Linked DNA regions of Nothobranchius furzeri. The protein of the gene in region 2 interacts with the protein of the main gene of each other region in a pairwise test. Links are inferred from orthologs where the notes say so. Each region holds a gene or a part of one and is shown on either strand. Other genes may lie near its edges.

Region 1 (5,073 bases), on a different chromosome or scaffold from region 2:
AATGCTCCCATAAGCAGTGTTAGCTTGGTTCTGTAATCCGGTCAGTGGAAAATCACATCAAGTTTGAGAAACATCCAGATTGTTTCATAATCATTCAGAACAAAATGATAATCGACTCCGTGACTTCTCATCGCTGCTTCAGGTGGATTTGCTTCGTTTGCGGAGCGACGGCAGGCCAATTAAAGGGAAAGTAGACGAGATCGTAACTCAGCTGGAAAGAGGCGGTCAAGTGACTCAGCAAACCCTTGATGAGATGCTGTGTCATGCCCCCACTGGGAAGAGGAAACCGGCGCTGTTGGAGGAGGTGAGCAGGAAAAGCCGAAGGACTCTGAGACCTCTTCAGTTCACTTTGTTATCAGAGTGAGTCCTGGACCAAGTCAGAATCGGCCGACCTGTATGTTCATCGTGAGCTGATACGGACCGTCAGGGCTCTTCTTGTTGCCTCATTTCTATTATCAGTGTTCTAGATTCACTTCTGAAGCAAGCACAAAGATGTAGAGGAGAAAAACGCACTAGAATGACCATTTTATTTTCCTTCTACATGATAAAACTTCCACACCCTTTACAACAGAGTATCAGCTGTAACTAACTTATATCTAAGCTGCCCTTAAAGAAATCTGACTAAGTTCACACTTGTGTCATTTAAAGTTGTTGGCAGGTACTTTATTTAAATTGCATATGTAAATCTAAGGTAGCATATAGTCTTGAGTGGTGTTGGTAATCTGCAGATACATTATCAACCTGAACACCCACAGTCTGCAGGCATGTCTTTGGACTCGTGGCTTTCCTGACACAACTAAAAATGGTCCCTGGAAGAAGAGAAACATCATGTTAGATGTGCTTGCTGATAAATGTCAGGAGTCCTTTTCTGAAACTGTGTTTGAACAGACTCTGGGAGTGTAAATGAGAGATGTGTGAGACGACGTATGAAAGGTTTAGTAATAAAAACAAAAGAAAAAGAATAAAGGAATGCTTTTGTTTATTTCATGTTGTGCACTCAATTTGAAGTCATTATCTTAAAGATCTATTTAGTTTTTCAAAGAGAGAAGAGGGATATTTATTTATACAAAAATTAATGAAATTGAGTCCAAGTTTAGGTTTTTTGATGTTTTCAAATCTTAAACCTTATTTTTTTATCTTCCACATTTAATTCACTTTCTTTTGTTGCACAAATGTTTAATGCAGCTATCTGGAGGACATTAAGTTTATAGGTGCACCTTAAACAACCAAGTAAATATTTTATTTTGGATATTTTTCTATTTCTCATTCTGAAACACATAACTCAGTGATTTCTGAAAGTCCTGTATGAGGTATGTTGGGCAGTGGGTAGATATCCTTTAATACAAATAGCTGTTATTTAACTTTTAAGAATATTATGAATGTGGTTTTATAATTACCGGTATAGCATTGTGCTTTGTGTACAGTTTCTAAACAAGTGAGCATTTTGACCACATCTTTTTTATGCATATATCCAACCCCATACTGTGGATGCTATTTAAGTATATTTCTTTCCTTTTGAAATATAAGTTGCTTTTATTTCTAAATTTCAAGATATTATTCCCAGTTTAACTAAATTTCATTTTACATTTAGTTGTGTGATGATTACACACACACACACACACACACTTGTCTTGTATTTGTTGTGAGGACCGTCGTCCATTCATTCTACTGACTGGATTGTGCCTAACCATACCCAGTCTATTCCTAACCCTAACCTTAACTTAAACTTAGGCCCTGTCCACACGTAGCCGGGGATCTGCCAAAACGTAGATATTTTCCTACGTTTTGGCCTGTCATCCACACGAAAACTGAGTTTTTTCACACGAAAACGGATCTTTTTAAAAACTCCGGCCAAAGTGAAGATCTGCGTTTTCTCCGTTTTGGGTGTCTGCGTGTGGACAGACACAAAACCGGAGTTTTAAGGTCCGCAACGTCACTTTCCGCGACACAAAAATGCTGACATCACGTGTGCGACATGTGTTTACACTATCCGGCATCACGGAAGCCTTCAGAGCTGCGCTCTGTCACTACCCGATCCATCAATTGTCCAAGCGCTTTCTGCTTGTTTGTTTTTGCAAGCGGAATTACTGCTCCTTGCGGAAGACCACAGACGAAGGATGAGGTTAAGAACGGGGGAAGTACTGCCGCCTACAGGTCTGGCATGTCCTTAACGTATTTATCTGGGTACGTGTGGACAGTTTGTTTTTAAAACGCGGTGGTGTGGATGCAAGTTTTTGGAGGGGCGGATATTCGTTTTTAAAAAAACCCGGCTACGTGTGGACTAGGCCTTAATTCACACCATACCTGAAACTGATGAATAAAGCTATGTAACACTAACCAAAGTGATAGCCAGGGAAAATGTCCTCAGTTTGCAGGTAAAAAGCTTGTCATTGGTCCTCACTTTGATACATAGACAAATACACACACACGCACGTGTTCATCTGTGATTTTTTTACACACAATTCCTTTGTAAAAATAAATCTGATTTGTTGTTAGAGACTAACAATTGTTCACAAAATCTATCAATATTGGGAAGTTTTCATCCCATTCTCTTATCTAAGAAAACAAAAGATCACCCCATTCCTTTAACCCTCCCACTGTCTTTATGGGTGACCCCGCGAGGAAAGTTGACCACTGAGCACACCCATCATCAGGACAGTGGGAGGGTTAAGGGTTAAACATACTTTACAGCATTCATGTAAACAAATATGACGCACATCAAGTGCCTCCCACAATGCACCGCGCCCGTCGGGCAGAGCAGAGCTACGTCCCTGAAGAACAACTAAACCGCTCATTTCTACCGGACCAGACTTGTGTTAACTTGTTGAAATAGTTAGGAAGCGCACTAAAGTTCTTTATTTCAGTTTAAGAGACCGAATGAGAGTCGAGGATACGTGATATCCACTCCTAGCGGCAGCTGGTGGCGATGCTTCTGACCATCAGCTAGCCGCTTAGCTAGTCGCCAGTGACGGGAGAAGCTGCTGGTGACACCCGGCATCAGACACGAAAACAAAGGGAGGAAGAAAGTAGACTGAAGAAAAACGGGTATTTGTGAAATTGGGTTTTGTGTAGCTTTAGGAAACGCAACACAATGAGCACCGAAGAGACAGCAGCCCCCAACAAAGCCGCTACTCCTGAAGATGATGGCATGACTTGGTGGTATAGATGGCTCTGCAAGATAGCCGGCGTTTTGGGAGGAATATGTAAGTAGATGAGCAATCCCACACAAGCCAAACCTTTAGCTACACGTAGTTTAATTATTTTCTGACACGTGTGAGAAATCTTTGTCATTTTCTCTCGACTTTACGTTAATTGTGAGGCTGAGAGCAGACTGATCTGACTGCAGCAGCCTCTGTGGGCTTGCTTACTCATCATTAGCTGTTTATTCTTAAATAAAGTGATCATGAACTCAACCGTCTGAGAAAACAGCCAGCTCCGTCTGAGAGTGAGATAGATGTGATTAAATGCTTGAGCTGCAGCCTTTCCAGCAGCATTGCAGCTCAGTGACACCAGAGTCCCTGTATCACATTAACCACTGCATATTCAATGGCTCCTGTATTATTGAGGAGGCTGTATGGTTTAAAGGAGCAGGATCTGCTGTGTGAGGGATAATAGAGGACTGCTCATGTCATGTTTAAGCTGATGTCAGATCCATAAACACAATAAAGATCTTTTTTCTTTTGTGTTTAGATAGATGACTCCCTTTTAGCTGCACAGTGTGACAAGGCTACAACTGGGTAGTGGTTGTATTTTATCTACATACTGTTAGGGTTCGGGTATACTGATTCATTTATTCTAAATGACACAGTTGGTATTGGGTGGGAAACGCTGCTTTGGTTTTACCAATTGTTCCTTGTTTTGTGCTGAACACGCAGCCTGTGCCATCTCAGGGGTGTGGAACTGTGTCACCGTGAACCCTTTAAACATTGCTGCCGGAGTTTGGATGGTGTAAGTACTTACATCTGTCTCACTTTACTGTTTAAATCTTCTTAATCATGTTTCACAAAAACATAATAGAGAATTTAATGTAGTATATTAATTATATGCCTACAAGTCACTCTTGCAGGAACTGTGTAGACTGAACTGTAGTTGGGATGATTCTGTACCTGATGCTTTCCAGAAGGAATGGGAGAAATGGTTGAGAGATTTGGAAAATTTAACAGATTTCCAAATCGGCAGATGCCTTAAGCCAGAAGGGTTCGGAAAGGTAATCGGCGCACAAATGCATCACTTCTCTGATGCAAGCGAAAGTGGGTACGGTACAGCTACTTACCTCAGACTCAGAAACGACAAGGAAGAGATGCATGTTTCATTTCTATTTGGCAAGGCTAGAGTAGCCCCGTTGAAACCTGTTAGAGAAAAGATAAAAAAGAAAAGAAGAAAAACAAGGAGGAAAAAAAAGAAAAAAGGATGGATCAGGGAGTACTTGCTACCAATGCAGGAAAAAAGGGTTAGAAGTGGGAGACATAGTAGTGGTTATGGACTACACCACTCCTAGAGGATCATGGGTGTTAGGGAAAGCCCTTAAAATGTTTCCTGACAAGAAGGGCTTGGTTCGAGTAGTTCGCCTTCAAACCAAGACTAACATTATCGAGAGACCAATAACTAAGCAATGTTTAGTGTGTGAAGGGGAAACTTAGGTTCAAAAGGTATTACGGGTCTTTTGGTTTGTGTGTATTTTATTGTGTATTGTTTTTTTTTTTTTTTTTTTTATAATGGCTCCTGTAATTTAAGTTATTGTAATTGCTATGTCTTCTGCTATGCGCAATTAGGGGCTGGCGTGTAGGAGCCATATGTGTCATTTTCTTTCTGCATACCTGAGAGGAGGCTTGGCCTCATTTGATTGGTCAATTGATTATCGAAGCACCGCCTACTTAAGCAGACACTGATTAGACTCAGGGGTTGCTGTGATGGGACAAACAGTTTCTTACTGTGTGGCGAAGACTGTGGCTGTGTGTAACGGACTCTGCGGACTGTCATTGGGGCAAGTAACGCATTCACTGAAAACCACTTTAACTGCTGTAAATGGATCATGGACATTTTGGAACAAGACGAAATAATAAACATCATCGG
Region 2 (5,276 bases):
ATGCCGTTGGATGTGCTCACTCCCAAGGCCCTAAGTGTGTGTTTGTGTGGAATGTTGTTAGTGGAAGTGTTTAAGGTGCAGATAAAATTGGGGGACAGGTTGCCACAGGAATGCAGAAATGGGGTCCATACCCGCACTCACTGACTTGTTCACACCCCAAGGTCCTATGTGCATGTTTGTGTGATGATGTGAGGGAGCAGGAGGAGAAAAATATGCGGGGATGGGGAGGAATGGCTGGTTGGGCTTAGCCCTCTAGGGATTGTCCAATTTGGTGAGCCTGAGTGAATTGTAGCCACATTTTCCTGTTCGTAGCTGGAGTGGGACCGGGTGTGGTCTTCTGCTGCTCTTCTGCATACCTTGGTTGTAATGAGTGGTTATTTGAGTTTCTGTTGCCTTTGTATGAGGTCGAACCAGTCTGGCCATTCTCCCCTGACCTCTGATATCAATAAGACATTTTCACCTACAGAACAGCCGCTCACTGGATGTTTCCCCATTTTTGGACCAGCCCCTCTGGTGCCAACAACCATGCCATGTTCAAAGTAAATCACCTTTCTTCCCCATTCTGAAGTTGGTGAACTTCAGCGGGTCATCTTTAGACATCCATATCTGCATGCCTAAATGTATTGAGTTGCCACCATGCATGTGATTGGCTGATTAGTCATTCATGTTATCGACCATATGGAGAGGTGTACCCAATAAAGTGGCCAGTGAGTGTAGTTCAGTCGTACCTGGACCAGCCTCTGCCTTTAAGGTCAGGTAGTAAAGAAATATTAAAATTTGGTGATTATAGTGAAAAAATTACGAATTTACTTTTTTTCTTTGATTTATCTTATAAATATATTCTTTGGTAGGGAAAGGTTGCATGTATTTTCTTGTGTATTTTTTTCAAAGTTATAAAAATGTTTTAGGTGACATTTTCCGTCTTAATTCAGTTTTGCAGGAGGAAAACTACAGAAAACCTCAGCTCAGTTAACAAAAAAGCGTTTAAAGGAGATGTTTCAGCTCCAAATCACTTTTAACAAAATTCCCTCCAAACATGCAGGGTGTAAATATAACAGGGAGAAGTTCTGATGTAAAACAGATGCATACACATTTTAGGTCGGAGGGACCGGTGGCGCCAGTGCTCGGCAGCCTCACCTCTGTCAGTGCGCCCCAGGGCAGCTGTGGCTACATCGTAGCTCATCACCACCAGTGTGTGAATGTGTGTGTGAATGGGTGAATGACTGATTGTGTTGTAAAGCACCTTGGAGGGTTCCAGGACTCTAGAAGGCGCTATATCAAATACAGGCCATTTACCATTTCACCATTTAGATTAAATTTGAACCTAATGCATGAACAAAAATCCTTAGCTGGATAAATGCACCAGCTGCATCATGTTCCACAACAGATTTTTATGTTTGTATTACTAAAAATCAAACCAGACTTGGTACATAAATACTATCACGTTTGAAGAAACATAATTATCAATTTCATATATTTTTTATCAAAGGCTTTGGTGATGTGCAAAACAACTTTTGTTTAAATGAAGTGCTGAAATATTTGTTGAAGGCACATTTCACAAATTGTGGTTTGATTTATCCAGTGGCTCTTTCTTATGACTATGAAATTTATGATTTTAGTACAATTTAGCAGTATTTTCAACTTTTCTGAAAACTTCTTGATCACTCATTTAAAAAGCATTAATTTATGTTGAGTTTAAAGATTATTATTTTGTACGTCTACCTTGGCTTTGTCCTTTTTTGACCAAAAGATTATTTAATCCTCGGTGAACTCTGGGATGCAATACCCGAGATAAACACAAGGCGGCAGCAGCAAAGCCTCAAACCAGAGTCTCTCCAGACTCCAGGGGAGGAAGACCAGAAAAAGGAGGTGTGTTTTATGGGTGTGTTCATCAGTATGGTGTATAAGAGACGGTCGTTTCGTTGACTTATGATCTTTGCTGACAAACGAACGAGGTTTTCACTTTTTTAGGGTAAGTATTAAACCTCCTCTGTCTTTAGATATGTAAAGTTCAGGTGTGAGCCGAGGGTGTGAGCCTAAAAGCGTTCTGGCTTTCTCTGGAGACGTGCGCGCGAGCACGGCTCTCCTCCACCAGGGTTTGTGTTTTACGTTTGTTACGTTTCATCACGTCTTGTTGAAAAGGATTGTTTTGGCCGCCATTCTTAAAAGAAAGAAACACCAAAAAGATAAAAGCCTGTGGGCTTTCAGCTCGCATCTTTTCAGTTTTAGCGATGACTCCCATAAACTCAGCCCAACTTTAGAAACTAAATAAAAATTACACTCATACACTAAATTATGGGTTACCATAGAAATTACATTTGCAAAATTGTATATTTTGACATTTTTAAAAGGCCGTAATTTATTTTAAGAATTATTTTTATTGTGTTTTTGTCACGTTCTGAAGTTTTTTTTATTTTTTAATTTTTTTTTACGTCTTTCTTTCATACCTTAAGTCTGTTACATTTTTACTTTATGGCGAGCAGAAGTTGAATTAATCAAATGTTGTATTAATTCATTATGAAGCTTGTTGTAAAGGTAGATATAATTAATTTGTCAGAGCTACTGCTGGCGGACAGAGAACCTGAATGGCCCTTGAACCAGAGCTTGTAGACCCCAGATTTAGAAAAACCACCTGATTCAGTAGACTATTATGTTGGGATTTAATCTCAAACCAAAGATGTAAAAATGTGTCAGTTATTGTTGAATAGCTTATTTTGTAAGTCAAATAAATAATACAATTCCAGTTAATATTGTGATCAGACATGTGTGTTTAATCTAAACTGATAGAATACAGTAAACACAATAAGGACACAATAAAAACCCAAAGTCTGTGTTGATATTCCAATCTTGGCTGATGAGTTATAATTATTTAGAAGTCCTGGGGAGAGATTTGTGCTAAGTGTTTGAATCCTGTGCTGGTACCTGCTGCTGATCCTCTGTCTCAGGGTTGGTTTATAATCTGTCTCTTTCCTTGTCTTCTAATCCAGTTGTGTTGAGATGAGGTACAGCAGGTTAATTCAGCAGCTGTGGGAAAGATGGCTTTCTCTTCTGAGCCGCCTTCAAGGAGATCCAAAGGTATCCCAACTCCTTTCACCTGTTTTATTTTGTTATTTATGTATCTTGACTTTTCCTTTGGTTGCATCCCTTTCTGACCAGCTGTGTTGTGTCTTTAACAGGTTGCACAGCTGCTGAACACAAGGATCGGACTGTACATCTGCAGAAGACCTTTCTTGGCTTTCACACTGCTGCTCTTCAGCGCCATGGCTGTTCTGCCTGTGGGAATCTTCCTCATGTTTGCCCTCACAACCTTTGTTATCTCAGCTGTAGGATTCGTTTTCTTTGAAGGTTGGTACTTTCTGGTTGGACACCGCTCCTGGATTGAGTGTTTTTTCTTTTGTTTGTTTGTTTTTTAACTTATTTCTCAGTTAATTTTTTATTTATTTTATTTTTTTAGTGTTCCTGTTTTTCATTGGAGGGCTGACTCTGCTGTCCGTGCTCGCTGGCATCGCTCTCTTCTCTCTGCTGGTTTCAGTCATCGTTAATGCTCTGTTCGTCAGCATCCCCAACCTGCTGAAGCAATATTACTCACAACCGTCTACGGTAGTCCACACACACTGACTGCACTCACCAAGTTGTATTTTAAACCTTTTGATCATTTCCTTCCTCTGAACCAGGAGAAACAGAGTGAGGGTGAAACTTCTGGACCGAAGGAGGCGAAGTAGATCGCTCCGTCCTCCCTCTAACATGATCGGGATCCAGGATCTGATCTGATCAGCTTCATGGCAACTTGACTGAGATGATCTGCTGTCGGAACAGTTGTTCTACGTACAAAGGCTAAAAATCAATCTTCAGTGTCAATCTAGGTTCATCACATTTTATCTGTATGTCGTGCAATATGTTTGGATTATTTATAACAAGATAACTTCAGGATTTTGATGTTTCATCAAAAACGGGCTTTTAAAACTGATTTCTTTTGACCCAGTTAATATTATAAGAGTTTGTATTGAAATGATTTCTGTAAAATAGGTCCAGTGTTTAGCTATTTATCGTGTTTCAACTTTTAAAGCTAAATTTCTACATGGCCAATAAATTTTAGGTATTTTTTACCCGTTTTAAAGAGAAAACCGCTACTCTTCAGCTTGAAATGATGCTTTTAAGAATAAACATGATTTTGAATCATTTTTAGTTGCACCTTTTTTTTATTTTTTAAACCAGTTTGATGTGTTGTAATGTAGAGAATTAAATGGAACCAGGGAACTTTGTATACATAAAAACTGTGGCTATTATATTTAAAACTATTTATTTTGTAAGCCACACACAGTGGGTACAGAAATTATTCGGAAACTCATCAATTTTCACTGTTACATTGCAGCCATTTGCTAAAATCAATTAAATGTAGTTTTTCCTCACTATTGTACACACAGTACCCCATATTGACAGAAAAACAGAATTTTATAAATGTATGAAGATTTACAAAATTAAAAATGAATCACACGGTCCCAAGTATTCAGATCCTTTGCTGTGACACTCATATTTATTTCAGGTGCTTTCCATTTCTTCTGATCATCCTTGAGATGGTCCTACGCCTTCATCGAGGTCCAGCTGTGTTTATACTGATTGGACTCGATTAGGAAAGCCACACCTGTCTATATAAGACCTTACAGCTCATGTCATGGCAGGGACTGATTGGAGGGCCGACAGGAGCAACCTGTTTATGGTTCCCAGAGGTGTGAGTTGATCATACCTGGGTTACGGGGTTTTAGTGTACGGTTCGGTGACCCCCTCAGCCTTGCGGCAACTGGGTGTGGTGCAGGCAGCGGCCTTGAGGTTGTGCAACGGGGCTTTCCATTCGACTCCTGTGTTGGCACTTCAGGTGAAAGTGGGTGAAATGGTGCTGGAATATTGGTTATGGGTTAAGCTTGAGGCCAAGTCCACACGTAGCCTTTTTTTTTTAAACGAATATCCGCCCCTCCAAAAACTTGCATCCACACCACCTCGTTTAAAAAAAACTGTCCACACGTACCCGGATAAATACGTTGTTAAGGACATGCCAGACCTGTAGGCGGCAGTACTTCCCCCGTTCTTAACCTCGTCCTTCGTCTGTGGTCTTCCGCAAGGAGCAGTAATTCCGCTTGCAAAAACAAACAAGCAAAAAGCGCTTGGACAATTGATAAAGCGAGCGCAGCTCTGAGGGCATCCATGCTGTCGGCTAGTGTAAACACAGGTCGCACACGTGATGTCAGCATTTTTTGTCGCGGAAAGTGACATCAAGGACC
Region 3 (5,284 bases), on a different chromosome or scaffold from region 2:
CACTTAACCCACCTTGCCTGCTGGTGGTGGTCGGAGGGACCGGTGGCACCAGTGCTCGGCAGCCTCGCCTCTGTCAGTGCGCCCCAGGGCAGCTGTGGCTACATCGTAGCTTATCACCACCAGTGTGTGAATGTGTGAATGACTGATTGTGTTGTAAAGCGGCTTGGGGGGTTCCAGGACTCTAGAAGGCGCTATATCAAATACAGGCAATTTACCATTTAAAAGAAGCCATCTTGGGGCAACGGTGGCACGTAATCTGAAAGTTGCAGATTCGAGCTCAGTCTGTCACTGTCGTTGTGTCCTTGGGCAAGACACTTAACTCACCTTGCCTGCTGGTGGTGTTTGGAGGGACTGGTGGCATCTGTGAGCGGCAGACCCGCCTCTCTCAGTGTGCCTGAGGGTAGCTGTGGCTACAATGTAGCTCATCACCACCAAGGTGTGACTGATTGTGTTGTAAAGCACCTTGGGGGGTCGGAATAAAGAGAAAACATTTTTGTCATTGGTTTTAAAGATTTAGGTATTGTCTCACAATTCCAAGTCTCTACATCCGTAAATATCGCACTATTAGTCTGCATCTGTGTTAGAGGTGAATTCCCAACTGTCTCCTCTGATTCTCCAGCAGGCGTTCCGTTCCAAGAATGTCCTCCATGGAAAGCCGAAGTGGTGACAATCCTTACGACTTCAGGCATCTGCTGAGGAAGACCTCTCAGAGACGAAGGCTCATCAAACACTACTGAAGAAGCATGTCCATCACATGGTTGCTTATGCAACAGCACAAATGTATAACTGAAACTGTTAAATCACTGATCATAGCTGAGTTTGGAGATTGTAAATAATTCAATTATTCATTCATACTGTAGCTCATTCATTAAATCTGTCATTTTTTCCCCCTTCGGTCATAAACAATTACAGACAATGCTGTCATACTTGAATTCTTTGCATTTTAATACATTTTCTTTTTCTTTTTTAAATCAGTTTTGGATGTCAGACATCTTTATCCTCATTGTAACATCTGATTTGTAAATTTAAATATAAATAAATTATGTTGTATTCCCATTTTTTCCCAAATATGTTGAATTTATGGTAAAATAATCAATATTTTTACCACCCATCATACAATAATCACAATCCCAACAGAGCTGAATTTATGTTGATTTATTTATTAATAATAATAATAATAATAATAATAATAATAATAATAATAATAATAATAATGTTCATCCAATGCAAGCTCTAGTGATTTCTCTTCAGGTTCAACCTCTGACCTTTATGTGACATTTTAAAAAGAGGAACACCCCCACAGGGGTTGTCAGTGGTAAACCCTTTGGTGCACGTTGAACACAAACACGACCATAGATGAGCTCCAGATGCTGAATTTAAAAACTGCAGAGGAAATAAATTGGAAAGAAAATTCATTGATAATAAAATAGACGTTGTTCTGCAGCTACTGGCCAAAGGGTTTATTTTTGGCGAACCAGATGACGTTACGTTGCTGACAGTTACTGTCAGATCTAAAGTAATTTCTGCAAAATCAGTTGAACCTTATTGGGTTAATTCAGCGTTTGCACGCCAGTTGACCATAGCAGCCATCTTGGATTGTGTTGATTCATTTTAAATAATAAAACATTAAACTTTAGTTTGCTTTTCAAATACATTTCAGGCCAGTCATCCAGAATAAAACCTGAAAATCGGTGTTTTTGGAGCAATGCGCGCACCAGCAGAGGAGGAGGGGCCCGAACACCCCCTCACACACACACACACACACACACACACACACACACACACACACACCCAGCATCCCCGGAGGCGGGCAATTAAAGCAGCCGGTAAACCCAGAAATAAGGTCCGCAGATGAGCTAGTTGGCATTCGGTGTCTATGGAAGGTCTATGGAAGGCAGGACGTGGAGCGCGCAAGGGACAAAATGTTGGGGGTGTTTGGAGTCACGACGCACGACGCGACGTCATGACCCTGAAGTGAATCACGATGGAATTTCTTCTGCTGACGTGAAATTCCCAGGCCCGACACGCGCGCTGCATATGTAGCTGCTGTTCACATCAAACTGTTTTTGAGTTAAATGTGATCACCTCTTCATAATTAACTTCATCAGCGCTAGTTTTTTTATTTATTTATTTTTCATTGCGTGTCTGCTGAGTGGAGAAAAGTGCAGCGCGCTCTGAAGAGTGCGCTGATTGTTTGGGTCCTTTTTTTTCGCGGATTTCTTTGTGCGCACACGCAGCTTCATGCACCGCGCACCTGTGGATGCCCGCAGAAGGAGCACCGAGGACGCCTTTGGGTTTTTTCCACTCGGGTTTATTTGCTGAAGCGCGTGTCGGATGTGCCACATTCTGGAGCGAGGTCCGGTCACGTTCAGCACCACGTCGGCTTCGAACAGCTCCCCGCTCGGCGCGTTTGAATGGGCTCTGTCGGTCTCCGGTGTCTCCCGCATCTCCTAACTACCAGCCGCGATGGCTTCACACGGGTTCTGGTCTCTCGGCGGGGATAACGCGGGGACCAACACCGGCAGTCAGAGCCCCAGCACGCGTGAGTGTCCTCTTTTCTCTTTTTATTGTCTCCAAATCCAGACAGGCCTGCATGGTGCTGATTTTATTATCTTGTTTTATTTGCGCTCCAGCGTTTTTACTATGTTTTTACCATTAAGTTGGACCAATAACTAGAAGTACATGACTTATTTCTGTCTGCCTCGCAGCCAGGGCTTGGTGCCAAGCGGCGGCCCAGAAATTATCCGGAGGAATTGGATCTAAATTATGTGGTATGAGACTGATTATGGGAGCGTTTCGCTGTTTCATTGAATGATTTTATTCACATATACACATTCTGAGTTATTGTTTTATATTTATTTAAAATGCGGAGGGTTTGTGTTTCTCCAAAGCGCTGCTGAACGTCGGGGAGGTGGAAAAAACCGCCGACCCGGCCGCCAAACAGCCGCCGCAGACTGCTGCAGGAAGCTGCGGCTGCAACAAACCTTGCACCTGCACCAAACCCGACGTGGTCTTCTCAGACCTCTATTCAACAGGTACAGAAACCGGATTCCGGTGTGTTTTTATGCAATAAAATAAAATAAAATATGCTATTTTGCTACTGATTCGTCTAAAACAGAAATACTCTGTTGTATTTTATTATCTAAGCTAAAAGGTGAATATTTGGGTTATTTGTAAAAGAAAAAAGTACCTGCAGGCCTAAAGCTCTACAAGGAAATCAAGCTGAATATGTGGTGGTATAACAAATAATTACATTCTGTTTTTAGTGTGATCATTTCCTCTTGGAGGTCACCTTCACCTTGAATCTGATGAGCTCAAATAGTACTCAGCTGCATTTTGGTTCTCCAACACAAACGAAAACAAAACCATTAATAGTAATAAACACATTTGTTTTGCATCCTTAAACGACACCCCCACCTCTTCCAGACCTGTTACCTGCCTTGGACGGTGACACCAAAACGATGACCTTCCTGCAGGAGGTGGTGGACCTTCTTCTCGCGTACATAGTTGAATCTTTCGACCGGGAAACGAAAGTCATTGATTTTCACTATCCAAACGAGCTGCTGCAGCTGAACAACTGGGAGCTGCAGGACGAGCCCGCCACCCTGGATGACATCTTGATCAGCTGCCGCGCCACTCTCAAATACGCCATCAAAACTGGTAGGTGCAGCTTTCTCAAATGCACGTCTAAAGATGCGCAAATTGATTGGTGCAAAGCCCACTGGTGCATTGTTCAAATGAAGGCCTGCTGCATGTATTTTTGACATAATCAATAATTTTGCAACTGAAAAGTAAATTTTAAATAAAAGCATGACATCTTTTTTGTTTGTTTTTGTTTTGATGTAATTTTGAGATGGTTTTTTCGCAACAATCATGCAACTATTTCAAATGCGCAGTAATTTATATTGGATTAATAAAACATAATGATAAAAGAGCATCAACATGGAAGCCGTCCTTCCTTCTGCATGGCCACCAGACCGATAAACGCAGTGGCGCAGTAAATCAGCTTCAGCAGGCGGCAGATAATAGGCTAATAATCCGGCTGCACAGGCCAAGTCCATTATTCTCACTGAGTGACACATGCAGAAGGAAATTTACAGCAACGGAAACATGTCAAGCTCTTCTATAAAAAATGCAACTATTTTATTAATTTCGTTATAAATGCAGCTTTATTATATTAGATTTCCTTTATGCTGTGAATTTTTATTCCTCTTTAAAATCATCGGTGCAGTTCTTGCGTGCTTTAATACTCACCCTCACATGTTTTCACCAAAGCGTCGCTGCAGCTGCATTTCTGCACTCTAATTAAAGCGTTTGGAAAATGACAGCTCTGCTCCTTTTCTTGATAAAGCCTTGAAATTACAGTTTCCTCGTCTTCTCCTCCTCCTCTTTTCTCCTCTTCTATCTCTCCTCCCGTTCAGCCCACCCCAGGTACTTCAATCAGCTCTCCACAGGATTAGACATGGTTGGACTGGCAGCTGATTGGCTGACATCCACTGCCAACACCAACATGTGAGTACGTGGCCCTGCTGCTTCAGCAGGATCCTCACAGCTGATTTAAAAACCATGACAATGGATCCCATTTCCGGTGCACCCAGTCCGCGTCTGTTTGGGCTGATAGCAGCTTTTTATTTTCCCTAGATAACCACAATGCACTACTCCCACCCCCACCCCTTCACATCTGATCCCCACTGGGATTCAAAGGGGAGGAAAATTACCTCTGAAATTGCATTCAGTCTAATCAGGAGCTAATTTTAAGTGCGTGTTTTCAGGGTGATAAACTCACGGCTGCTGGAAGAGAGGCGGCTAAGACCAATGAGTGGTAAAAATATAAATATGTATGGAAAAATGGGCTTTTTATGGAAGATTTCTGAAATTAAATATGTGCAGCAATCATTTCCCTACATGAGTGGTTTTAGTTACAGAATAATGTAAAAAATACTAATGCATTTAAAAATTCTTTAAAATCTGGAGATATTTGAATAAAAGTGTAAACAATTTACACGGGTTCAGAAAATGGATGATGGATGGATGGACAATTGAAATTACTTCATCATTATTTAATGCATTGGTGTTTTGCACCCAAATGAATAGAAGATACAAATGTTTTATTGCATTTTTCTCTAATTTTAGGGTTAAAAGACGAAACATCTCAGAGAGTTCATACCCTCTGAGCCCACTCTGGCTCATTCAGACTTTTCAAGCGTTTTAACGTCCAAAAGCTGCTGCTGAAAACTGTAAACCAGCTTTTTCAGTCATAACTTCATTATGCATCTTCCAGGTT

Evidence for each region. The genes of interacting proteins can lie anywhere in the genome.
Region 1: the proteins of lipid droplet assembly factor 1 (region 2) and cacfd1 interact in binary tests that used the Homo sapiens proteins (3 or more experiments, as listed by UniProt). The two-hybrid records come from large-scale screens. The link is inferred for Nothobranchius furzeri from reciprocal best matches to the Homo sapiens genes LDAF1 and CACFD1.
Region 3: the proteins of lipid droplet assembly factor 1 (region 2) and gad2 interact in binary tests that used the Homo sapiens proteins (3 or more experiments, as listed by UniProt). The two-hybrid records come from large-scale screens. The link is inferred for Nothobranchius furzeri from reciprocal best matches to the Homo sapiens genes LDAF1 and GAD2.

The regions. Positions count from the first base shown.
Region 1 is NC_091746.1:61,747,713-61,752,785, forward strand, and holds the start of cacfd1 (calcium channel flower homolog), read left to right. Parts: upstream 1-1,582; 5' UTR 1,583-1,975; coding exon 1,976-2,184; intron 2,185-2,226; exon of another isoform or gene 2,227-2,358; coding exon of another isoform or gene 2,359-2,375; intron 2,376-3,072; coding exon 3,073-3,203; intron 3,204-3,875; coding exon 3,876-3,948; intron 3,949-5,073. Other genes in the region: ptcd2 (pentatricopeptide repeat-containing protein 2, mitochondrial), read left to right, coding at 143-364. UniProt on the Homo sapiens protein: Transmembrane protein which mediates synaptic endocytosis and fitness-based cell culling.
Region 2 is NC_091752.1:57,003,405-57,008,680, reverse strand, and holds lipid droplet assembly factor 1, read left to right. Parts: upstream 1-1,850; 5' UTR 1,851-1,972; intron 1,973-2,987; 5' UTR 2,988-2,997; coding exon 2,998-3,075; intron 3,076-3,176; coding exon 3,177-3,345; intron 3,346-3,454; coding exon 3,455-3,600; intron 3,601-3,674; coding exon 3,675-3,722; 3' UTR 3,723-4,181; downstream 4,182-5,276. UniProt on the Homo sapiens protein: Plays an important role in the formation of lipid droplets (LD) which are storage organelles at the center of lipid and energy homeostasis. In association with BSCL2/seipin, defines the sites of LD formation in the endoplasmic reticulum.
Region 3 is NC_091747.1:58,589,653-58,594,936, reverse strand, and holds the start of gad2 (glutamate decarboxylase 2), read left to right. Parts: upstream 1-1,793; 5' UTR 1,794-2,466; coding exon 2,467-2,542; intron 2,543-2,708; coding exon 2,709-2,771; intron 2,772-2,891; coding exon 2,892-3,035; intron 3,036-3,426; coding exon 3,427-3,660; intron 3,661-4,421; coding exon 4,422-4,512; intron 4,513-5,281; coding exon 5,282-5,284. Other genes in the region: myo3a (myosin-IIIa), read left to right, coding at 623-737. UniProt on the Homo sapiens protein: Catalyzes the production of GABA.